3 linked regions of the Drosophila melanogaster genome follow. The protein of the gene in region 3 interacts with the protein of the main gene of each other region in a pairwise test. Each region holds a gene or a part of one and is shown on either strand. Other genes may lie near its edges.

Region 1 (9,194 bases), 4.3 Mb from region 3:
TGAGTTCGGTAAAGGACCTGACCTCGGCTCTAGCGCAGACGGAGGATGCGGATACCTTTGAGGACGACGAGGCCGTTGCCGAAAAAGACAAGGTCAGCAGCCAGATAGAGCGCCTGTTCCGGAGCCCCGAGTTTCGCAACGCCATCATGTACATGGGCCGCACGCTCTCGAGCAACACAAACGAGGCGGGGTTACGACGCTTCCGTAACTTTGACCAGGTGGAACGCTGGAACGCGGAGGCCGAGTACGTCTACTCGATGAACTTGCTCTTTCGGCTGGTACCGGAGCCCAGCAAAGACGAGCGCAAGGCCGTAAGCGACATTGATTTCTGCCGCAGCAATGGTGACATCCTGGCTGTAGCCTACGGACTGTACTCATTTTCCTCACAGCACGTACCGACCTCCGGCAGCGTTTTCCTGTGGAGCATTAAAAATCCAGGCGAGCCGGAGCGCGCATACTACTACGATGTGCCAGTAACGGCAATAAACTTCTCGCCATTCTTGCCATCCTTGCTCGCCATTGGTCTGTACGACGGCAGCGTGGAAGTGCGAGATGTGAGCAGTTTGCAGGACACACCCGTTGCGGTCTCGCAGCGCAGCACTTCGCCAGGCTCCTCGCCGGTGGTTGCCATCCGCTGGATCAAACAAGTTTCAGACGACGATCATGAAACAGACATCGATCCATTCCTGAGCCTCTCCCAGGATGGCTCGGTCACCCGCTTCCGGATTATCAAAAGTCCCTTCCTGCTTGGTTTTACCCAAATGATTCTGGAGCGAGTCGAGGGGCATCCTGAGGGCATTTTCGTTCACCCATCGTCGCGTATCCCCTGCGAGTCTAACCGCCACCCGCAAGGCTTAAGCATCACTACACATCCTCTGCACAAGGACATTTACTACGTGCTGACAGATGAGGGCTGCATCCACAAGTGCTCAATCAATTATCAGCATCAGTACTTGGAAGTCCTGCGTTGTCACGACGGGGGTGTCACCGTAATGGAGTTCTCGCCTTGGTCTCCCAAACTCTTCCTCACCTGCGGCAACGATTGGTAGGAAGTGGCCCTCTATCAAGGGTAGCTAAAGATAGTATCTATTCTGCAGGTTCGTACGCATTTGGGTCGATGGCATCACGCGACCTCTTCTCGAACTGCTAGACGAGATGACCCCAGTGCATTGGGCCAAGTGGAGCCCCACCCACTCTACGATTATTGTGACGGTGAACCGGGAAACCGCTAACGTCTGGGACTTTCGCCGAAATTTGCTAAGACCCATGTCCAAGCACAAGATGGACTCTTCTTTTAATACTGTGGCCAGGTAAGCTTTTATTGCTTTCCGCAAAAATGGCCAATTGAATAGGAATTTCCTTTACCAATTCTTAGGTTTTCCCACTGTGGTCGCACATTGGTTATTGGCAACGAGCGCGGGAACACGCTCTTCAACGCCCTGAACGACATGCCCTTTTCGCCACACTTCCAATACGACGAGTTAGAGAAAGCCATTTTCAAGGCAATTGGCAACGACCACGAGCTTCTTATGGAGCTTAAAAGCATTGGTTTCTTTGGGTACCCAAACAAAAAAGCAGTTTTTTAGATAGGAAAAATGGTATTCTCAATAAAACAAAATAATTCGTCGGCCTGAAAGCGAATCTGGATGGCACTGATGAAATGTTCACGCATCAGCTATCTAAGAGACACAACGGCGATCGATCGAGTGTCAAACAAAACTACCCAATAGTAACTTGATATCATCCGAACGGACCGGGCATTACCTTGCACAAGCACAAAAATCCGTTCGAAAAGATGAGCTCCATTGTTTTTCGAGTGTGTGTGGTTGACTGTCAACGATGGTGGTCAAGTGGATAGGGGTCGATATAGGGTCTAGAGGGATCGGTGCAAGTCGACGGGTGTTATATAATAAATGCTCGTATAAGCTTGGTAAATGGAAGCCGCATGTGGGGGAAGAGCAGAATTTATTAAACAGTCGTAAAGAGAAAGTCAACAATAATGAGAAGATGTTCAACAGCACGTTACAGTCATAGCCCAAGAAGAAATAAAAATAGGTATCAAGCAAACAAGCCTTTGATAAAAAAGAAAAAATCGAAAACAGGGGTGAGAACAAGGTTATTTTCTGAATTGCTGTGTAGCCATTTGTCGCTGTAGTATTTAATTAAATAATAATTTCAGCCCAGAAGCTCGCCAAACAACGCAGTCCCCGTATTGCGACTTCCATGGGCGGTGAAGGGTAGGAATTGCACTGACATCAGATCAGCAATAACAAGAGTTATTTTTATTGAATAACTCACCTATAACCATATATTAAATTGTTGGAATATCAGGTATTTAATAGGTGGAAATATTATATTTCTGAGCTATCTGCATAACGTGTATGCGCTCACAACCTCTATGTTTAACTGTTTTTCCCTCGTTGCTAGCGTTGTCCTCCACAGGTCTTCCTGTACTGCCTTTCGCTAAAAGACTCTTTTTCAGAATAGTCCGAAGAGTCGCTGCACAAACAAAACCATTAAGAATAGTCGATTAAACCCTGGTTTTTACTCACTCTACTTCAGTAACGTCGGAAAAATCACCATAATCCACTGGTCGATTGCACAGACAACACTTATTGTGTGACTTTTCAAAGCATTTACCGCAATAAACCCCTTTGCATCCAGGAGTGTCGCAGGGGTTACGATTTGAACTAAAAAGGGGACATCCAACTGTAACCCGGAGTGTGTTTAACGATTGGAGTTACTTACAGAGTCAGAGATCGGCCACATATGGTGCACCTCTCAGTGCTTTGACAGGATGAGCAGCAGGAGCACATGCACATTAAACAGGAGAATCTATTGTTCAGCCAAGTGTAGTTTCTGGTGTGCTTCACATTCCGTGTGTGGTTAAACTCATTACGCTTTCTGCGGCGGATAAACTTAAAAATGCTTGCTGGAGAGAATACATTAGAACAACTTTAAAAGGTATGTACTTTCTTACTTCTATCTTCGGAAATCATGTTGTACAGAAACATGCCTCTTTCCTTGGCGCGTTTTGGATAAAAGTGGGCCATTATAAGATGGCGAGTACGCAAAATATACGGCTCGGCCAAAAGGATCAGCCAAGCGAGCAGACAGAGTAATAATATAATTAGATACTCCGCATAATCAGGTTTCACGGGCAGCGGGAGGCAAGGATTCACGTCTAAAATGCTTTTTTGCGTCAAGGGTCGAAAGGCATTAGCGATTCCCCGCATGACATCCGCCACAAAGCCCCCACCCTTAATCTCTAGATCGACGTAAGCGGGCACCTCCAGCCCAGTCTCTTGGTGGCCATGGAGGGATATAGTTGCCAACAGCCAGAACAGCCCGTAATCCAGAAAGCAAATCGCAAACAACTGCAAGCAGGTTGTGGCCATGAAACAGGCGTTCTCAACAATGGACACGAACTCAAACAAAGTCAAACGCAAGCTAGTAAGCTGCAATGAAATCATTGTAATATTATGTCAGGGAAACGTAGGGAAACCTTACCTTCATATACTTTGCCCTTTCAAGCTGATGAAGGGGTAGCAGTGGATCGTAACCGTGCTTTTCGTGCCGCCGGTCGATATCACTTAGTATCTTTGTCAAGAACACATTCTGAAATTGCCGGCTGTGCATATATCGAAGGTAGAAGATGGTGGCTCTGATGGGAACAATTGAGGCATCACCAACACTAAATTAATAAGATGATTAAGCTCTTGCCTACTTAAAAAATACAGTAACCACCATGACCCAGCAGAGAATGTCCACAAAGCTGCTCAAGAAGATAAACGACGACAGACGCTTGTTAATATCCTGTAAAATTTCCTCCCCCACGTCCGTCAGGCTCTTTGAAGAGTTTGTATCGAAGAAAAATTCGTGCTCAAAAGTGATATTGGCATCAAACATTTCCTCGATGTGCCGCACAAATTCACGGTAGCCTGCGAGATCGTATAACTAATAACCAAAGTACCGATCGTTGTTTACACTCTCACGTTCTGCGATTTTATCAAGAAGACCCCAGCTGAGATCCCAGTAACCGCTGCAAAACACATCGATGATCTTGGCTGGATAGCAGAGGGCCAGAAACAGCTTTGCAGCATGGCATAGCGCCTTGAATACGCCCATCTTTGACTGGCACCTGATCATTGCGTGATGCGCCGTCTTTTTGCAACGTGCCCAGGGAGTGCCCATTTCTGTGTTGCACAGGTCTACGATGGATTTCAGCCAAGCGGCGCAGTTCTTCAGGGTTTTAACTACAAAAATGAATCAGCAGAGAAAACTGCAGCACTTTTTAATACAGATACTCACTAATTGCGATCAATTGGTCCTGAATGCGTAACAGCACTACCATGGCCAGCTTGAGCACCCGACGCACTTCCCGCATCAAGAGATCCACCGCTAGCTGGATGGCATTCACCGGCTCCAGTATTACGTCCAACATCTGGCCAAGCGCCTGACGCAATAGCTCCTGTCCGCAAGCGAGGCTGCGGAGCATCACCTTCAAATTGGCTAGAATGTTCGCCGTAGGCCCAACTGCGGCAATAACAAAGGCAAGGCTGATGAGGAACGCCCTTCCCCGAGAGCTGCACAGCGAGGGAAGGGCCAAAGTCACAATGCACCTGGCAGCCAGTGAGGGAACACTGTTAGACACAAATCGTTTTGGGCTTTTTCAGGTAGTTCTTACCTTACGGGCCTGCTGTAAAAGACCGCCAGAACAAGCGCCACCGGAATCGCGAAGGTGAGATTAAGACCCAGAACCAAGTGGCCCAGCTGCCACCAGTTCCATGCGAGCGTTACCGCGAGGCCGCATAGGTAGCCGCCAATTACGTATGGTGCCACCAGCTTGAATGTCCACATAGCGCCATACCTTGGCTGACTTTCTTCCATGATTTTATTTTGATCGATTTCTTTGTAATTTATTTGTAAAGTCTAACACAACAGTCGGAATCGATATCGATATTTTCTCTTGGCGCCCCACTTAGTGTGACCAATTTAAATGTGAGTTTTCATTGTTATCGGAAATGTGACCCTTCTTAAAATCGAAAAGCCTATTGTTTGTTGTTTTTGGCTTATCCGATTCATTTTTGGCGCCCAAAAAGAATTTAAAACTTAACCGATTGCTTTTTCTGTTTTTCGCTTTTTTGTTCCTTTATTTCAAACAACATCATTTTTTCTCTTTCAAAATAACAGTTATTTTTGATTTATATATCTTATAAAGTTACGTCGTGTGATCTAAGCGAGTTTCGGATTTGAAATGCGTAAAACGCATCGCTGCATTCAAATCCAATATTAATACTATTCAACGAATCTATTTATTATAATATAATGAATAATAAAATAAAAATTATAAAAACATAAACATAAAATAAAATTATATGTAACTAAATAATAAGAAAATAAACAAAAAAATAATTTTTATTAATATTTTTCTCAAAATGATCAAGTTATTTTGGAGCTTCAGGTTTTTATACAATTATGATAAAAATAAATATATTAAATACTCGTACTGAAAGAATTCGCATACACTTGCCCCTGGTAAAATTGGAATACTTATTGATTAAAACATATGATGATTTTAGTATTCCACTAATCGTCCTACAGGTTTACCTATGCACTTTTCGATTTTATGGGTCTTTCCGTTATCTCCTCTTTTTTCTTTTTTCCTGTAGGCTATAAAAGGTAAAAAAGGCTTCTGGATTTGAAGCGCAATGCATTTGCAATTATTTTAATTAGGGCAAGCCCTTTTTGGATTGCAGAAATAGAGCTGTCTTTCTATATCTTAGCCCTGTTCACTGTACTCTTTCTTCGATTTTAGGTACTGCAGCACAAGCGTAGGGTAGAACAAAGTAGTCAGGTCGTTTTATGTGTATCTTACGTAGATTTTGAAACCTATTGAAATGTTGTATCATTTTGCAACGTTGGATACTGGGATACGCGCACTTATTACCCAATCAGTTAGATATTGCCAATTGTAATAACCAAACGAACCAAAATAAAAACAAATTTTATCGTAATTTTGTTACTTTGAAATGTTTTTGTATTTTTCTTTAATTTTTCCTGTTAATGATACGTTCCTTTCGCTCGATTATCTTTTTTTGTTTTACTCGTAATATATTTTTTATTTTTACATGCTTCTCTTTTTTGACATTCTTGTTCTGGTACTCATATATAGATAATATATAATTTGTTTAAATATTTATTTTACAGATTTCTCTCACTATCAGTGGCTCTCCGTTCTATGACATCGTTTAATAAATCGTAATTTTCGTTTAATTTAATTAATTGTATACTTATGTGTGTTGTTGCATATTGCGTTAATTTTAATTTACTTAGGTCGCCAAAAATAATTTACTTAAAAGTAACAAAAAATTAAATTATGTTTAGATGTATATCGACCAACGGCGATATGTATGTACAAAATGTATTTTTTGCTTTCTTTCAACTTCGACTCCTTACTCTACACCTCTGCTCATCACTTAATTACTGTAGCTTAAAGGTAAATATGGGAGGGGATGGGCGCGTTCTAGTAGTAGCAGTGGTAGCAACTTAGACATTTACAACATTTAACTAATTTGTTTCAAGAAACTTTGCAGTCTGTCTTACATCTATTACATATATCTTTGTATAAGACTTGTTTTACACACATTCAATTGGAGTCAGTTGGAGAGACAACGACCGCCAATCTTGACAATCTTTGAACGACTGTTGAGTTTTTAGTGGTAGCCCTTACAAAATAAAAATATAATTTAAAATTCGTTCTTTTATTAGGGTAGCTCAAGTCTTATACATTTCATTATAGGGCAAATAGGTAAACGAAAAGCATAATGAGAATGATAAATAATGATAATTAGCGTTAAACTGTATATTAGAATTACCTAAACAGTTGAGCGTGAAGCTGGAAAAACACCGATTTTGTGACATCGATGGTTTTCCGGCTCATTCCCATCTCCTTCCCCACGACTTAGGGTCTTTTTGCCGTGTGCATATAGCTCACATAGTTCTGTACATAGTTACACTGTTTACAAAATTTATATTAACATATATGTGATCTTCCCACGATAACAGAAACAAAAATTATTTCTCCGACGTACATACACATATTATGTATATTACAGTTTCCAGATAATTTCCTAGTATTATACCATTTAAATACGGATTTTAGTTTGCTTCACGAAATTACTTTTAATTTAAGCCTACAATGCCACCTTGCCTCCGTGTGTAATTCATTTCAATTGCGACTAACTACGCGCTAAATACGAATATATTTGTATTTATGTATGCTGTATATAAATATTTAATTTAAATTTTAAATTGAATTTACTTAGTCGTTATAGATGTATTTTACTTTAGATAAGTTTATTCTAGTGTTATATTTTCGCCCTAAGCACAATACAAATCGGAAAACAGAAATTTGGTTCTAATTAGCACTAGAGACACGATCATTATTTCCCCTTCATCACTTACTTCTACTTCTAAGCTTACTTCTATTCCCGCCCTCTTCTACGCCATCGCTTCGTTTGCACTAAATTTCAACTAAATTAATTTCACATTGCTATAAATAGGACTACGTTTACTTAGACGCCGTCTTCTTGCTAGGTGACGTCCCCGTTCTGGTGCTACCCAATGTCCGGTTGTCAGACGCCGTCGAAGCTTGAGGAGCGTTTACGGGGGAACTGCGTTTCACCGTGGGCGAATTGCTTGAGGAGGCGGCGGATGAATTTGAGATGACAGCCAGGCTATTACTGCTGCCGCTGGAGCAGGACACTGCAGATGTGGAGGAGGGATCTCCGTAGGCCAACTTGCGCATGTTCTCAATAGCTTCCGACCAGTGGATAGCATAGCCTTCGGGATCATCCAGGTAATAGGTTCGATTTGGCTGCAATGAAACCAAAAGAGTAAAATTAGTTGAGCGCAACGCTAATTTTAAACCCATTCACCAAACAAGTTTGAGTTTTTATCTGCCTTGCGTGTGCAGTTTTCAATGCCGCATTTAATTTGCTTTCATAGCCAACACGTGCCCGGGACATAAACTAACGCTCAAATTGCTTTTCAGTAGGCGTGTGACTGGCTACGAACTATAAGCTGTGATGTCATCGGTTCAACAAACTTATGCTTTCTCGGTTTTCCGAGTTGCGCCTCGTGCATCCTTATCCCACCATAGGTAAACACTTACCGTATGGACAAAAAAAATTTTGAAGTTTTTGTACTCCGCTCGGAGATCTGGGCTCCACGGAATTTCTCCTTTTTTGATCATCTGCACGGGATCGATATAGATGAGTCGCGGTCCCGTGGTCAGAAGGAGCATTCGCTTGCGGGCAAACAGACCCTTGCGCTTGTTGACAAACCCCTTCTTGAGGATCACTTCGCCGTCGGCAAAAACGTGCCACTTGTCAGTCTTTTGTTGCTCGAGACGCTGCAGCTTCTCGGCATCGTTCAGGTCGAAAGAGTCTGAAGAAAAACAATACATTCATTAGCCAACGTATTTTTCTGGGGCACCACGTGGACACTTACTCTTTGCGGTCGATCGCTTGACGGGCATGGCCACGCTGCTGCCAACGCCTAATTCTGCACTAAGCAGTCGCGATATCTGCCGTTCGTCAAGGCCAGGCTCCAAATCCCCGGGCACAGTATAGCTGGACCTGAAGTCCTCATCCTGACTTACGCCCGGTAAGTATGGGTAGATGGGGGGAGGGGTTTGTTGACGGAGCGTCTGCCAGTCAATGCCGGCGAAGAATGGGTGCGCCCGAATGGATTCGTAATATCCAAACTCGTCCTGAGCACCCAGGCGGTCTCGCGGATCGACACGGAGCAGCTTGCGCACCAGGTCCTCGGCGTCCTTATCAAAGCCTTGCGGGAAGTCCACGGCGCAGTCAAGAATCTCTTTAAAAATGACATAATCGTTGCTGCCACGGAATGGCGGTAGGCCGGCGATCATCTGATAAACTATACATCCCAGTGCCCACAGGTCCGCCGCCGGGGTTATAGGTCCATTTTGGAGCACTTCCGGTGAAACGTACTGGGCAGTGCCCACAAAGCTTGCCTTTCGGTGACGGTTGTAACGCCTTTGACGATGGCGTGGGGAGTCCATCTCTTCCTGCTGCTGTTCGTCGTCGCCGTCGTCCAACTCCTCCGAATCGCGATCGTAGAAGTCTTCGTCTTCGTTTTCCAGGCGGTCGCTGTCTTCATCGTCT
Region 2 (7,769 bases), on a different chromosome or scaffold from region 3:
AGGCGGTGGATGGATGGTGAGCTGGCGGGGAATCCGGGGGCTACCTCCGCCGCCTGTTGTCTGTTTGTTAAGTTCAATTGGCGCTTGGGTCAGGCGAGTGCATTCCACTTCCCCCCATTTGTGCTGGGGGTCCATCCCATCTACATCCACATGCCATCCCTTGCCAACTCATCTCATTCTATCCGATCTCCTCGCATCCGATCTCGATCGCAATCTGCTCTTCAAATCCAGATACGAGTCTCTGCACTGAAAGGAAAAGTACGATTCGAATGTGATGGGATATTGAGGTTATACTTATACTTCCTTTTAGTTATTATTTAATATAATCACAATCTAAACCTACTTGTATAAATACACACCTTTCTGGGTGCTACATTTTGGCAATTCCAGAGACTGCGATGGGTGTGTCGAAGAAAACGCAGGACAAATCGGGATTCGAGTATGCGATGGCCGTGATGCGGATGTGCGACATCCTTCACGCCCGCCATCGGAGCATCTTTCTGCGCAACGAGTTCGTGTTCACCCTGACGCGCTACTACAAGGAGCAGGGTCGCCTGCTGAACATCATCCACGGCCTGACCACCAAGGTGATCCGCAGCAAGAAGGCGGCCTTTGAGCAGGGCACCCGTGGATCCCTTGCCCAGTGCGAGCTGAAGGCAGCCGCCTTAGAGCGGGAACGGGAACAGAATGGTGGTGTTGACCAGACCCCATCAACAGCTGGCAGCGATGAGAAGGATCGGGAGAAGGATAAGGAGAAGGCCAGTCCGGTGGCGGGACTGTCCTATGGACAGTCGGCTGGTCTCAAGGATGACCTGGATGTGGAGGACAATGATATTGGTGAGAAGAAGCGGCTGGCCTTCCTTGATTTGATGCTCGAAAGTGCACAGAATGGAGCACTCATTACGGACACGGAAATTAAGGAGCAGGTGGACACGATCATGTTCGAGGGACACGACACCACGGCAGCCGGCTCCTCGTTCTTTCTCTCGCTGATGGGCATCCACCAGGACATCCAGGATCGCGTACTGGCCGAACTCGACTCCATTTTTGGCGACTCCCAGCGACCGGCCACATTTCAGGTGGGTAACTAATGCCGCACACATCACCATAGTTAGTTAGTTATATTCTTGAATGTTGAACGTTAACCGCTTAAAATGTCCGCATTCCGATTGCAGGACACACTGGAGATGAAGTATCTGGAGCGGTGTCTGATGGAGACGCTGCGCATGTACCCACCCGTTCCATTGATCGCCCGCGAGCTGCAGGAGGATCTCAAGCTGAACTCGGGCAACTACGTGATTCCCAGGGGCGCCACGGTGACGGTGGCCACCGTCCTGCTCCATCGCAATCCGAAGGTCTACGCCAATCCCAACGTCTTCGATCCGGACAACTTCCTGCCGGAGCGCCAGGCCAATCGCCACTACTACGCCTTTGTGCCGTTCTCTGCGGGACCACGCAGCTGTGTGGGTGAGTTGCAGATATAACACTGAAGCAAATTATGTGAATATTCGGATCGTCTATATGAATAATGTTTTGTTTCATTTATTATAATTATTTTTTTAGGGCGCAAGTATGCGATGCTCAAGCTGAAGATCCTACTGTCGACCATTTTGCGGAACTACCGTGTCTACTCGGACCTGACCGAATCGGACTTCAAACTGCAGGCGGACATCATCCTAAAGCGTGAGGAGGGATTCCGCGTGCGCCTCCAGCCGCGGACCAGTTGAACCCCGGTGGCCGCGACGAACATCAGCTAGGCGAACCAGGTGGACCAGGTGGAGCGGGTGGGGCAGGCGGAACAGGCGGGCAGCACACCATACACCGTACACCGCAAACAATAAGCTACACAGAACGGACACTTATCCATACATATAACTCCACTTGTTGGCAAGTGATAGTCACCGGTTTATACAGTAATATTGATAATATTAAATAATAATAAACGTGCTCCCACACTCGATTTATTGAATAGTATAATGATTATTTTTTTGACGCATTTAACACAAAAAGCAACCACAACTATCGTCATCTTCCTTTAATTGTTCTACTCCTCTTTTTTTTTTTTGGTTATTTAATAATTATAATACCTATTTGTGTGTAATGATTTTGACAATAAATCTTTTGTGTAATTATACAAATGGATTTTAGTGGGAAATTTAAATGTTTTCATACAGCAAATGGAGTTGACAGCCATTTGGTTGCTGTTATTACTCGTCTTCTATTTTATGCGTCTTAAAATTCAAATATGCGCGCCATTCGTAGCATTAACCAACACTGTACCAGCTGGCAATGTAAATTGGTATATTTTTGGTATATAACTATCGACCCTCGGCCATCACTAACATGCAGCGTTGCCCCATCCCATCTAACGCAAGTACCAAACTAATTTGGCCATCTGGCAGCACTGGTCAAAAGTGACACGGCGACAACCAGCTTAAAAGCGAAAGTTAACAATTAACAATTGCTGGCGTCCATAGCCAAACACACGAGCCAGAAACTGGAGCCACCCCAAAGCCAGAATGTCGCACGCCATCGACGAACTGCAGGCGATCATCGCCGATCTGAAGACGGAGCTGGAGACGGAGCCGAAATCCAGTGGCGGCGTCGCTAGCAACAGCCGCCTGGCACGCGATCGCATCGATCGCATGTCCGCCGAGGTGGTGGACTCCAATCCGTACAGCCGCCTGATGGCCCTGCAGCGGATGAACATCGTCAAGGACTACGAGCGCATTCGCTACAAGGCGGTGGCCATTGTGGGCGTGGGCGGCGTGGGAAGCGTCACCGCCGACATGCTTACACGGTGCGTGCACAACAAGAAGAGAAGGGCAACAGTCATTGTGCACCACAGCTAGCACTCCAAATATGTTGTCTTTAATTAAAGGCTATGTATTAATCAATTGATTTCCTGCAGCTGCGGCATTGGCAAACTGATACTCTTCGACTACGACAAAGTGGAGCTGGCCAACATGAACAGACTGTTCTTTACGCCCGATCAGGCGGGCCTCTCCAAAGTTGCGGCCGCCGCCGCTACCCTGAGCTTTATCAATCCGGACGTGGAGATTGAGACGCACAACTACAATATTACAACGGTGGAGAACTTTGATCGCTTCCTGGACACAATATCGCAGGGCGGACGGATAGCTGGCCAGCCGGTGGATCTGGTGCTCAGCTGTGTGGACAATTTTGAGGCACGAATGGCAATCAATGCAGCGTGCAATGAACGCAATCTCAACTGGTTTGAGTCGGGAGTTTCGGAAAATGCCGTCTCGGGGCACATTCAGTTTATCCGTCCTGGCGATACCGCCTGTTTCGCTTGTGCACCACCCTTGGTGGTGGCCGAGAACATCGACGAGAAGACGCTGAAGAGAGAGGGCGTGTGCGCCGCTTCATTGCCCACAACTATGGGCATTACGGCTGGCTTCCTTGTCCAGAACGCATTAAAGTATCTGCTGAATTTCGGCGAGGTCTCTGACTATCTGGGCTACAATGCCCTTAGCGACTTCTTTCCCAAGATGACGCTCAAACCGAATCCGCAGTGCGATGACAGAAACTGTTTAGTTCGGCAAAAAGAGTTCCAAGCCAGGCCCAAACCTGTGCTGATCGAAGAGAAGGCAGTCAGCGAAGAGCCGCTGCATGCCACCAACGAATGGGGCATCGAACTGGTCGCCGAGGATGCGCCAGAAAGTAATACAACGCCCGCCGAAACCCCAGTGATGGGTGAAGGGCTGAGGCTCGCCTACGAGGCTCCTGAGAAGTCCAGCGAAACGTCAGAGGAAACTGTATCTGCAGCTACCGCGGACGAAACCAGTCTGGAAGACCTGATGGCGCAAATGAAGTCCATGTAAATTGATTCCGTACTCCGTATTTATAGACACTTTTTGTAAAACACACACTTTTTTTTTGATAAACTCAGCTTCGATTTGTGTAAAACTTGGGCCGAGCCATTTTTTATTTATTTATATATAGTAACTTTTAGTCACTTGATTAAATGCTTTATGCTCAAAATTATTTGAATTACGCGGGAAATTTCAATTCTTGCAGTTTCTAGTATTTCAGTATTTTAAGCTTCCCCTATCTGGCAGCACGGTCAACTAGTCCGTTATCGATTGGCAGCGATAACGATTGACAATTTTGTTGTCGCGTTGTCACACAAAAACGAAGAAAACTCCTGAAAAAAGAAAAAAGAGTTTTTCTGAGCATTTCGCAAACTTCTCTTGGAAATCAAGGGCATCAAAACACAATAGAGAGCAGATAGAAGATGGGCAAGAAGGATGAAAAGTCACAGCAAGGCGAGGAGGTGAGTAAACCGGTTGCCGGCTTGGCATTTGGTCCATTAAGATGTGTTCCACGTCATTGTAGAATGTAAATGTAAACTAAGTGAATATGTGCATAAACTAACTCCATCCTGTTTCATGTGCCCTGCCAGCTGGTGAAGGTCAACAAGTGGGATGGATCCGCAGTGAAGCACGCCCTCGATGATGCAGTGAAAACCTGCCTCCTTGGCGATCGTCCCCAGCTGAAGGAGCAATTCGGCCTGGTCAACACCCGTTTGGCCCTCTGCGCCCTCGCCGTTTCCGTGGCTATAATGGCCCATGCTTGGGACTTCACCCACCCCTTCCCGGAATCCCGTCCAGTGCTCCTCTTCAGTGTTTTGGCCTACTTTGCACTCCTCGGCATTCTGACCCTGCACTCCAGTTTCCGCGAGAAGGGCACCTTTGCGGTGGCCCTGCAGAAGGACAAGGAGCGGGAGCGCCTGTGGGAGGCCAGCTCCGATATGCGCAAGTACGACGACAAGTACCTGCTGACCCTCAGTGTTCGCGACACGAAAAATGGCAAGCGGCGCGAGCAGAGCAGCAACAAGTCGTGCGCCGCCTTCATCGATCAGAATGGCATCGTCCTGGACAACCTGGTGGCCAACGAGGTCAACCGTCTGTTCAACGCCTTAGCTGCCGACAAGAAGAACGCTAGCAGCCTTTCTTCTAATTAAACCAAATTCCCCACTTTTGTCTCATTAAATTGTACACTTTTGTGGTAAGCCGACTGTTTGTCTTTTGTAATAAGCGGAAAAACTATAATATAAAATGAATTCTTTGATTTACAGCTTAACATAAATTGTCTGAATCTGATAGAAACTTAACCAATGATTTGTGGACTATTTTATTATAATTTCATGGGTTCAGCTGCAAAAATCTAAAAGTTAAGAGGGCGGGGATTCCGGTGGCGGCAGAGGAAGAGGAGAGGGTGCCCAAACTGGAACTGGCGGCGATGGGGAAACCCATATTGCGCTGATAAGGCCATTGATATTAATTCCATATTTAACCTGGCTGCCTTCCCAGAAGTTAAACATCAAAATTGGGAGTTGTCGATGTCAAAACGTTTATATATATATATCAATGTTTTTATATTCCAAAAGCTCATATTTGTGACATACTAAAGATTTTGGCTACAAGAGAGTAATGTACGTAATGTAAAGTCTATATGTACGACTAACTCATGTGTTTTTAAAAGATTATTCTATTTGTTATTATATTTATTCACAATGTGGAGATGTCCCAATCCAAGTGTACCCAGAAATCCGAGTGTTTTTGACCTTCTTCCTGCGGCGCTCCGGCTTCCTTTGTCATCATCATCTTTTTATTTTTTCAGATATCTGTATGGGGCACTACGGTTCCTTTTCCCATTTCCCATTACCATCTTCTCTTTAATTTCTACATATTTCTTATGTCTTTCCAAAGCCTCAATTTCTGACATCTTCTGGGCCATTTTCTTTTTCATAATCATCTGCTTTTCTAACACCTTTGCTGCCATTGTATCCTTGGCCGTCTTTAGAGCCTCCAATTTTCCCTTAGCAATCTTTAGTGTCTTCCCGCATTGCCGGTCCTTCGACTTCTTTTTTTGCACTTTCCCCTTGGCCATCTTCGGCTTTTGCAAGTTTAGCTTTTCCTCTTTCTTATTTTTCTCAAGGACTTGCTTTGATGTCTTTCGCCATTCATCAATTTTCTCCTTTTCCATTTCCTTCCTTTCCATCTCCTCTACCATGTCCAGCTGCTCCTGCGTCTCCAGCAGCTCCTTCACCACTTTGCTCTCATCTTCCTGTGGCGACACTTCGGCTAGGGTAGGGTTAGCCACCTCTGCTTTGGTTTTCTTTTTCTCTAAAAACTTACGAGCCCATTCCTTTCCTCCATAAGGATAGTCATTATCCTTTTTATCTGCCAGAACAGGAGCCCATGGCTTCGGCGTGGTAGGACCGACAGCCTCGGTGTGGGCACGTTTTGATGGAGAGACCATGTCATTCATCAATGTTAACTTTCTTTTTGAGCTTGGAATCTTTATCTCATCTTTGCAGAGATTGGCATCACCGCTGGTATCACTGCTGTCCGAGCCTAGAATTATTAATTCATCTTTGTTGCTATTGACAACTAAGCGCTGGGCACCGAATCTGTTGCCTTGATTACGCTGGCTTAGCAAATTGTCCACATCCACTTCCTCCAGGACGCTCTTATTATTGGAGTTACGATTCACTGGCTCCGGCAAGGAGGCCCCGATATGAGATTTCTTTTCCTCTCCGGGTGGAATAATGTCCTTCGTCAAAGTGAAATTCCTTTTCGAGCTTGGAATCATTTTCTCATCTTTGCTACCTTGATTACGCTGGCCTTGCAAATCCAGGACACTCTTATTATTGGAATTACGATTCACTGGCTCCGGCAAGGAGGCCCCGATATGAGATTTCTTTCCCTCTCCGGGTGGAATAATGTCCTTCGTCAAAAAGAAATTCCTCTTAGAGCTTGGAATCATTTTCTCCTCTTTGCTGGTATCACTGGTGTCCGAGCTTAGAATTGTTAATTCATCTTTGTTGCTATTGACGCCTTGATTACGTTGGCCTAGCAAATCCAGGACGCTCTTATTATTGGAATTACGACCCACTGGCTCTGGCAAGGTGGCGCCGAAAGGAGATTTCTTCCCCTCTCCGGGTGGAATAATGTCCTTCGTCAAAGTGAAATTCCTTTTCGAGCTTGGAATCATTTTCTCATCTTTGCTACCTTGATTACGCTGGCCTTGCAAATCCAGGACACTCTTATTATTGGAATTACGATTCACTGGCTCCGGCAAGGAGGCCCCGATATGAGATTTCTTTCCCTCTCCGGGTGGAATATTGTCCTTCGTCAAAAAGAAATTCCTCTTAGAGCTTGGAATCATTTTCTCCTCTTTGCTGGTATCACTGGTGTCCGAGCTTAGAATTGTTAATTCATCTTTGTTGCTATTGACGCCTTGATTACGTTGGCCTAGCAAATCCAGGACGCTCTTATTATTGGAATTACGACCCACTGGCTCTGGCAAGGTGGCGCCGAAAGGAGATTTCTTCCCCTCTCCGGGTGGAATAATGTCCTTCGTCAAAGTGAAATTCCTTTTCGAGCTTGGAATCATTTTCTCATCTTTGCTACCTTGATTACGCTGGCCTTGCAAATCCAGGACACTCTTATTATTGGAATTACGATTCACTGGCTCCGGCAAGGAGGCCCCGATATGAGATTTCTTTCCCTCTCCGGGTGGAATATTGTCCTTCGTCAAAAAGAAATTCCTCTTAGAGCTTGGAATCATTTTCTCCTCTTTGCTGGTATCACTGGTGTCCGAGCTTAGAATTGTTAATTCATCTTTGTTGCTATTGACGCCTTGATTACGTTGGCCTAGCAAATCCAGGACACTCTTACTATTGGAATTACGATTCACTGGCTCCGGCAAGGAGGCCCCGATATGAGACTTCTTTCCCT
Region 3 (8,204 bases):
GAATCTTATCTGAAAGCTTGCATATGGTAAGGGCATCGTATTATTATCAAAATTATATTACATATTACAAGGTTAGTTGGCTGGGAAGTAAAGGTATTTATTAACAGTTTATGTTTCTTTTATTTGTATTTATCTTAATTAAATTTTAGAACAATTTCTTTACATGTTTCTGCTCTCCATCAAAATTTATCAAATAAAATATAGTCTGTTGCTTTTTTTACAGCGTAAAAGAAAGTCTGTTTCAAAAGACTCTAACACTCACTAGCCAAGTACACGTTTTAGTCTTTTACGATAAACTTAACGTTCTTTTAGCCTGTTATGCTCTTTTTTCGTTTAACTAAAATATATGATAAATCATTCTGGAAACCCGTTTTCAAATCGCCCCACTCTTCGGAGCCGGCGACTAGAAAGTGCCACCACCGTCATGAAGCGCATCTCCAGAGCTCTAAAAAAAAAAAAACAAAACAAATCCGAAAAGAGCTAAATTATAAATATACAAAAATCAACGCCAAGCAACAGGGCAACAAAAAAGATGAAAAATAAAATTCCGCACACTTTTAACACTCGGCTCGTGGCCAATAAATAATGGAAACGCGTGGCAGCCGAAATTTGGCAAGTTCCTTTCATGTAATTCTGATTCTGATTCTAATTCGATTCTTATTTTGGGGCTGCCTGCGGCTCATCGAGGGGCTTTCTGTTTGATGGCTGATAGAAAATAAAGTGCGATCGTTCTTGAATATGTATTCTCGGTTGTGGGCTGTCTAAAATTAATTATGTGGCTGCCAAGTGCTGAAAATTAATCATCCGAGCATCGAATGCTCGTCGATTTTTTTAGGCTATGTTTAACGGATGACGCAAGGCGGAGTTACATGAGATCGGATTAGTTATGATCCCGAAACTCAGAACCCTTTCAGTACAGAGTTGTAGCTCTATGTTGGCCATCTGGAAAGTCATTAAATAATAAATACACCTAAAGAAATCAGAGTACATTCGATATATTTCATACATAAATGACTTTTGATTATAATTAAATTAATTGATTAATTGAATTATATTTCACTGCCTTAGTGATTAAAATTGTTCGATTCTTATTTAGTAGAACAATTTAAATTGAAAAATTAATACTGTTCTGAAAATTCTCAGTTCTGATTTTGCGCAGTGCTTCGGGAAAGCCTAAAAATTATGGTTCATAATGTTTGATAGCAATAATTGCCAAAGAGGCGGGTGGCACCGGATCATTGAACTCCAGCAGCCCCACTTTGAACCCACTCACTCGCTTTGCATAGCCACAAGCCCGCGAAATTCGCACAGACATCATCCGAAATTTATTTCTGTAATCAGCGGGCTTTTAACGGTCTCCGTTAATTTTATGCCGAGCCGAGCTCCTCCGTAGAGTTTGATCCGAAAGTTTGCCATAAATTATTTTAATTTAATGCTACTTGTAGACATTTTTTTGAAGGCCCTGCTGCGGTCATTTGACTCTCTTAAGCTTGCCAATTTCACCAGGAGAAGTGCGCTGATTTATGGGGATCAGCTAATAGGTTTCTATGGGTCGGTGCATTGGGTCACGAGCCGACGAGATGGGCTAAGGCTAATCCTCTCTGACCTACAGTTGGCCAAAAAACAGACGCACATGCCGGCAGTGGACTGCCCACATTTGATTTAGGAGTCCACTCGCTAATATTGACATTGATTGCCGAATTTAAACATTACTAAGGCCCGCCTCAGTCTGAGTAAAAAATAATCATAACAAAAACATAACATACACGCAGCCTTTTATCCATAGGTCACAAATGAGGTGGGCCAAAAACGGATCCAATGAATGTGTTTTGGGCAGCTCACCTCTATGCAGTCGACTGGCCAAGATATGCTGCCTGGTGAAACAATAGATTTTGTTTTATTTCTATTTTGATTTCAGTTGATTGGATTTGCATGAGAATCGAATCTAAATGATTGCATAAATTTATGTCGACAATTCATTTTGCCTCTCTCACTATAAAAAAAATGTCTTTGTGCCTCTATTTCTATATAGCTCTGAACTAGTTTCCTTTCCGCGTACCCTAATGGACAATATATACACCTTTTCCATCAAAGGCAATCGCAGATATGGCCAGAACATAAATGCCCTAATCTATTTGCACGTGTATATTTATGTTAATGTATGTAATTTAAAGGCAAACAAAAAAATCAAATATACATAGTTGGTAAATATCTGGATATTTTTATGTGCAATATAGATATTTGTAGTCTGGTGTAAAGCTTAATCAAAAGCTCAATTTATAAAGCTCAGCTTGAAAACCCGTGTCGATTTCTCAACAAACTTTAAAGCTACCTTGAGCGGAAACGGAAGTAGCCGCCATAGTTTTCGCCTGAAAGTATGCTTTAAATAAGTAATCAAGGTTTGTTTGGTATGCTCTTGTAGCAAATGCTGATAAGTATGATTTAATTTATGTTATAATATGTTCTGTTTTAAAATACTTAAAACTCGAATGACTGTTTGGGCTTCTGGTAGTGATAGCCATCCTCACGATAGTCAGTGTCGTACTCCGAAGCAGATGTTTTAAGATCCACATTGTTTCGCTTTGAACTGCGCCTATGAGATCGCAGTTGTTTGGGAGCAACCACATAAGAGGACTGCTTGTTACTAGCCGCAAAGCCCAGAAATCCTAGCTGCCCATCATCGTCCGCATCATCGTCATCGGGTATAAGGACTGAACGCTGATTAGGATTAACCGATACCAAAGCCCGCTGGTGTCCATGATGAGGATCGCTGTAGAAGTTGCCGTCTATGATGTTGGTGTCCTGTTGATTTCCCAGCGCATTTGTGGGTCCCTGGAGATGGGGTTGTCCGAAAACGTTTCCATTCAGCACATTGAGACCCTGGTAGTTGGATCGATTGCGCTGTCGTCGGTTGTTGAGGCGTGGTACTTGTCCCGCTGCCAATTGGGCTCCAATGGAGGGGTCGGACTGTCGCTGATTGGGATCAAAAGCTCCTGGTCCAGCTGCATTGGGTCGCTGGTTAGGCACGCCTTGTCCAGCTCCAAGTTGGGCACCTGTCGAAGGATCAAATGCTCCCTGTGCACTTGGTCTCTGGTTAAAGCCCTGACCTGCACCCAATTGAGCACCCGTAGAAGGATCAAATGCTCCCTGTCCACTTGGTCTTTGGTTAGAAACACCCTCACCTGCGCCCAATTGAGCACCTGTAGAAGGATCAAATGCTCCCTGTCCACTTGGTCTTTGGTTAGAAACACCCTGACCTGCGCCCAATTGAGCACCCACGGAGGGGTCAAAAGGGCCACCTAGCTGAAGGTTGGGATCATATTGGTTTTGCGCAGGTCTTTGAGGTCTTTGACCAGCTCCAAAACCAGTGTTAAATGGTCCTCCGGCAGCTGCTTGGGCACCAAAGGAAGGGTCGAATCCTTGGCTCCCTCCAAGTTGAGCTCCTCCCGCAAGCTGACCTCCTCCGGCAGCCTGTTGATTTCCAGCTCCAGCATTACCTATGGCTCCCAGCTGAGCGCCCAGCGAAGGATCAACAAAAAAGTTGAGTCGGTTGCCATATCCACCTCCATAGCCACCTGGACGTGGAGGTCGCTGACCGTTACCCAGAACAGCCAATTGTCCGCCGGCAACAGGTTGATTGGCCGGAAGATTAGCACCAGTGGGAGCCAAAGCACTGGCTGGTAGCTGAGCACCTATGGGATCAGAGGGTCCACAGCCAGGTGGTACGTTTCCAGGTCCAACAAACTGGCAGTTGGGTCGAAATCCTGGTGCCTGGGCTCCAGTCGGTGCTTGAGCCCCAGCAGGATCCTGTGCTCCTGCTGCACGATCTGGGCGAGTAAGGGAATTCAATTCCGAATCCTGGGACTGCACGTTGATCTGCGTGTGGGTGTGGAACACCGAGTTGGGGGCACTGGCGTATAGAATTCGACTAGGACGACGGCGGCGATAAACCACTTGGGTAGCAGCTGGGGTGAACAAGTCCTGATTGTAATCCGTACGGACATGGGGCTTGCTATGCTTGTAGTGAATGTGCTGGGTCTTTACTTCTGGCTTCTTGTCATAGTGATGGTAGTGATCCACTCGCTGCTTTTTGGGCTCTTCATGTTGATGCTCCTTGTAGTATTTGGGCTCCTCGTGCTCCTCTACCTTGTGGTAAACCACCTTTTCACTGGTGTGCTTCTCCTTCTTGTAAAAAGGTTGCTCCACCTCCTTTTCCTCGTGGGGAGGTAGGTAATGGGACTCCTCATCGTCATCTTCGTGATCCCTGGAGTGATGATGCCGCTGGTGCTTGTGGTGTTTCACATGGGAAACGTCCGCCAGACATGCGATTGCCATAAGGCATAGAACCAGGATCACGAGGACATTCTAAAATAAAAATGGATTGGTGAAATGCGGAACCTAGAACCTATCGTTGATCCGTTACCATTGCTAAAGTGCCAGTGACTGTAAGCAGCTGTAGATGCAACTTATATACTCTCTTCGGGATCTTTTTTGTTGCATCCCCACATCGAGCCCCCAAAAAAGACCACAGTTGAAAGCGAAACCTGTTGCCGAGCGTGAGAAATCGATTCCGCGCTTTATGTGACCCATTTGTTCTTATTGAATAGCCGCCAATTTAAATTCTATTGAATATTCTGAAGCACAACGAAAGTGTCCCGTAAATTTGTCAGATCAAAGCGTTTAAATTTATTGGCCCAAGTGCGCTGCACACTTATGCGATAACGCATGGGTTCTTTGAACTTCGTTTCCAGGTGTGAATTTGGCCTAGTAATACAATTGAAGCTTCAAACTAATTTATCATTAACAACTGATTGTTAGTTATGGATAAGAAAAACTGCACTCCAGTACTAACTAACAATTATTAATAAAATTTAATTTTGCGATTTTTTTTTTCTTTTCTAGCAAGAATTTTAGCACTTTTGAAATGTTGTTTTAGGTTTTATAGTTTTTTTTTTTGCGCGCTTCTTTTGCTAAAACTATACACCATATCATTCTTGTTTAATTATCAAATTATCATATTATCTTTATTAGTGTTTTAATGCTCAAATAAAACTATGTTTTTATAAATTTAATATTCGAGTTTTTTATTGTCGCATTTTATCGTATCATCATCATCGTTTAAGCGCGGTGCTTGAACACACGGCGACGGACGGTCTTGTACTTGTATCCCTGCTGGCTGGCGGCGGGCTGGCTATAATCGTATCCGGAGCGGGCGGCAGAGGGGGCGGAAGCTGCGGCCTCGAACACCGGTCCGGAGGACTCGAAAGCAGGAGCTGGAGCAGAGGCGAAGGACTGCACGGGGGCGGGGGCGGGAGCTGGAGCAGGAGCAAAGGACTGAACGGGAGCTGGAGCTGAGGCGGCGGCATGGTGGTGGACATGGGGAGCGGGAGGCACGTATGTGCGGGCTGGTGCGGGTGCAGAGGCGGCCTGCTGGAAAACGGGAGCAGGAGCAGCTACTGGAGCTGGGGCAGGGGCAAACGACTGCACTGGGGCAGAGGCAGCTGGAGCTGGGGGCACGTAGGTCCTCACTGGAGCCGGAGCAGAGGCAGCTTGCTGGAAAACAGGAGCCGGGGCAGAGGCGGCTACCTGGCGGGGAGCATTGTAGTTGTAGCCAGATTCGGCGGCCACACAGCCAACCACGGCCAAGGTCAAGATAAAGAATTTCTACAGGGAAAAATCGAAATAGAATAATATGCCAACTAATATAATCCGCAATACAGATGGGAGATCCTTACCATTTTAGATGATCTGTTTGCTTTAGGAGCAACGAACCGAATAATATCTTAGACCGGCGACTCCTGTACTTTTATACAAGTCGGAGAATCTGCGGATCCAAACGGAAGTGCTGAGTATCATAAATCAACGAAACGTTTTTCTTCGCGTCGAAAAATTTGTTTAATTGGGCAAACAGATACCTCGACCACGACGCCATATGGGGCTTGTTTTTATCAGTTAGGTACGCCATGGAGTTTGGATTTAAAACTCTCATTTTTTTGCTGTCATATTAAATATAAATATTCATAAGAATACACGTATCACAGCTTAATTTTTTTGCCAAAACAATTTTATCGCAAACCTGATAGTTTGGTTTCGTCTTGAAGAAGAGCTTTTTTAATTCACCCAAGCTTTTGCTAAGACTAAACCCGATATTGGGTTAATAGAAACAGTAGCAGAGAGCTATTTTTAAATCGATCCAGAACAAGAAGTATAGCAATTAGCCGGTCATAAACTATCTAGTCAGCCGTATACCTTATCCACTTAAAGCAAACAAATTGCTCAGGCTAATGACTTAATGTTCCGCTAACTCGATTGATGGACTGATTGATTAATTGTTCAGAGAAGCCTCAAGATCGCGACTCCCAAGGTATTAGGTATCTTAAACATTTCCTCTTGGGGTTAATGGCATATGGTGCCCTTTTTTGCATAATCACGTTATCTGATCTGTATTGACGCCCTCCAATGGTCTCGAGTCTAAACAATGTTATTGTTTATCTTTCTGAGCTTTCTTTATTGTCTCTTTTGCGCTAATTCGAGAATATGCTAATCGTATCAAGTCAGACACACAAATAAACCTATTAAATGTATTTTTGCATTTCTTTGCCAAGATGGTGAATTAGCATTCGAATATAGTTGGTGTTGTGGGTTAAACCACAAACCAGTTGAGTTGGTGGTTGCTCAGAAATGTTGTTTCGGATGATGAGGCATCTTACTGGGGCGGCAGGTAGGTGTTACGAGGAGCGATGACTTGTGGCGGCAGGTAGGTATTGCGCGGAGCAGCCACCGAGATCACTTGCGGAGCAGGACGAGCAATGGACACCACCTGTGGAGCAGGACGAACAATGGACACCACCTGTGGAGCAGGACGAGCAATGGACACCACCTGTGGAGCAGGACGAGCAATGGACACCACCTGCGGAGCGGGACGCGCAATGGACACTACCTCTGGAGCAGGACGCGCAATGGACACCACCTCTGGAGCGGGACGAGCAATGGACACCACCTGTGGAGCAGGACGAGCAATGGACACCACCTGTGGAGCAGGACGAGCAATGGACACCACCTGCGGAGCGGGACGCGCAATGGACACCACCTGTGGAGCGGGACGCGCAATGGACACCACCTGTGGAGCGGGGCGACTAATCACTTGGGGTGGCAGATAGGTGTTACGAGGCGCAGCCACGGAGATCACTTGGGGAGCAGGACGAGCTATCTGCACCACTGGCGACGGACGATAAACGGGAACCACTTGTGGCACCACCAGAGGGGCGGGAACCACCTGACGCTCGATGATCTGGGGTTGAACTTGAACCCTGGGAACAGAGATCACCTGGGGTTGCACCACCTGCACCTGAGGCGGCAAATAGGTCCTGGATAGAGAAGTGGCACCGACCACTCCCAAGAGAGCCACTGCGAAAGGCAAGAAGAGGACACGCTGGGCAGAAAAATTTTCCATTAATCTCACAATTATTAAATCCAATCCGATTGAAACCCACCATGTTGATCACACAAAGTCGAACAATTAAACTGTTTTTTTGCGAGCAGAACATTTGGTATTTATAAGACAATTTGGGCAGAACCCCAAATATATAGTATATCTAATAACATTCAGCTGGTATATCTTTTGCATATGTATCGGTATTGTCATTCTGATTGCAGTCGTCTGGCGAAATGCGGTTACGACTGCGAACCATAAATAAAAGCAGTAGTCCAGACGCAGGTTCCATGTCAGCCATAAAACAATTGCTCGCATCAATTTGAGTTAAAATATTTAAATAAAAGTAGCTCGCCAAGTCCATAAATCTGGTTTGGTAAATACTTTCACTTTTCTGCAATACTATGAGTTAATTAATAAGACGCAATTTGAAATGCGTATTTTTATTAATTTGAGTTTCTAATAAACGCATAAAGATTCCATCTAAGGGATAATTGGATTAGGGATTCAGTTTGTTTCGATGTATGGTCATAGTACTGTTTTGGATAGATGATTCATACGTATTCCCATACCGGTTCAGTGCCCGAGTAATGGGTACGAACTAAATTTTTATTATTATTGTTATTGCTGACCTAAACAAAATACTATTAACACATTTTGACGTTCCTTAGCACAGTCAGATTCTGCCCTGGTCCTAGTCCTCCTAATTAAGAGCGTACATATTTCATTGAGCAGACTTCTAGTGTTACGTACTGTTCATCTAACCTAGTAT

Evidence for each region. Proteins that work in one complex are often made in the same cells at the same time.
Region 1: the proteins of CG11349 (region 3) and CG6845 interact in a two-hybrid assay, tested with the Drosophila melanogaster proteins (one large-scale study listed by BioGRID).
Region 2: the proteins of CG11349 (region 3) and Spase25 interact in a two-hybrid assay, tested with the Drosophila melanogaster proteins (one large-scale study listed by BioGRID).

Annotation. Positions count from the first base shown.
Region 1 is NT_037436.4:142,200-151,393, reverse strand, and holds CG6845 (uncharacterized protein), read right to left. Parts: upstream 4,962-9,194; 5' UTR 4,891-4,961; coding exon 4,688-4,890; intron 4,623-4,687; coding exon 4,312-4,622; exon of another isoform or gene 4,257-4,311; coding exon 3,996-4,256; intron 3,942-3,995; coding exon 3,728-3,941; exon of another isoform or gene 3,665-3,727; coding exon 3,511-3,664; intron 3,459-3,510; coding exon 2,981-3,458; intron 2,933-2,980; coding exon 2,749-2,932; intron 2,691-2,748; coding exon 2,553-2,690; intron 2,500-2,552; coding exon 2,424-2,499; 3' UTR 2,338-2,423; downstream 1-2,337. Other genes in the region: Dic61B (dynein intermediate chain at 61B), read left to right, coding at 1-1,045, 1,098-1,310, 1,376-1,586; Pdk1 (Phosphoinositide-dependent kinase 1), read right to left, coding at 7,574-7,879, 8,177-8,451, 8,515-9,194.
Region 2 is NC_004354.4:11,481,135-11,488,903, forward strand, and holds Spase25 (spase 25-subunit), read left to right. Parts: upstream 1-4,115; 5' UTR 4,116-4,258; coding exon 4,259-4,297; intron 4,298-4,426; coding exon 4,427-4,987; 3' UTR 4,988-5,432; downstream 5,433-7,769. Other genes in the region: Cyp4g15 (cytochrome P450 4g15), read left to right, coding at 391-1,079, 1,176-1,467, 1,564-1,727; Uba5 (Ubiquitin-like activating enzyme 5), read left to right, coding at 2,520-2,800, 2,912-3,845; CG33235 (uncharacterized protein), read right to left, coding at 5,635-7,769. UniProt on the Drosophila melanogaster protein: Component of the signal peptidase complex (SPC) which catalyzes the cleavage of N-terminal signal sequences from nascent proteins as they are translocated into the lumen of the endoplasmic reticulum.
Region 3 is NT_037436.4:4,469,299-4,477,502, reverse strand, and holds CG11349 (uncharacterized protein), read right to left. Parts: upstream 4,436-8,204; 5' UTR 4,427-4,435; coding exon 4,424-4,426; intron 4,366-4,423; coding exon 2,479-4,365; 3' UTR 2,408-2,478; downstream 1-2,407. Other genes in the region: CG32248 (uncharacterized protein), read right to left, coding at 5,119-5,664, 5,736-5,738; CG32249 (uncharacterized protein), read right to left, coding at 6,707-7,432, 7,494-7,496.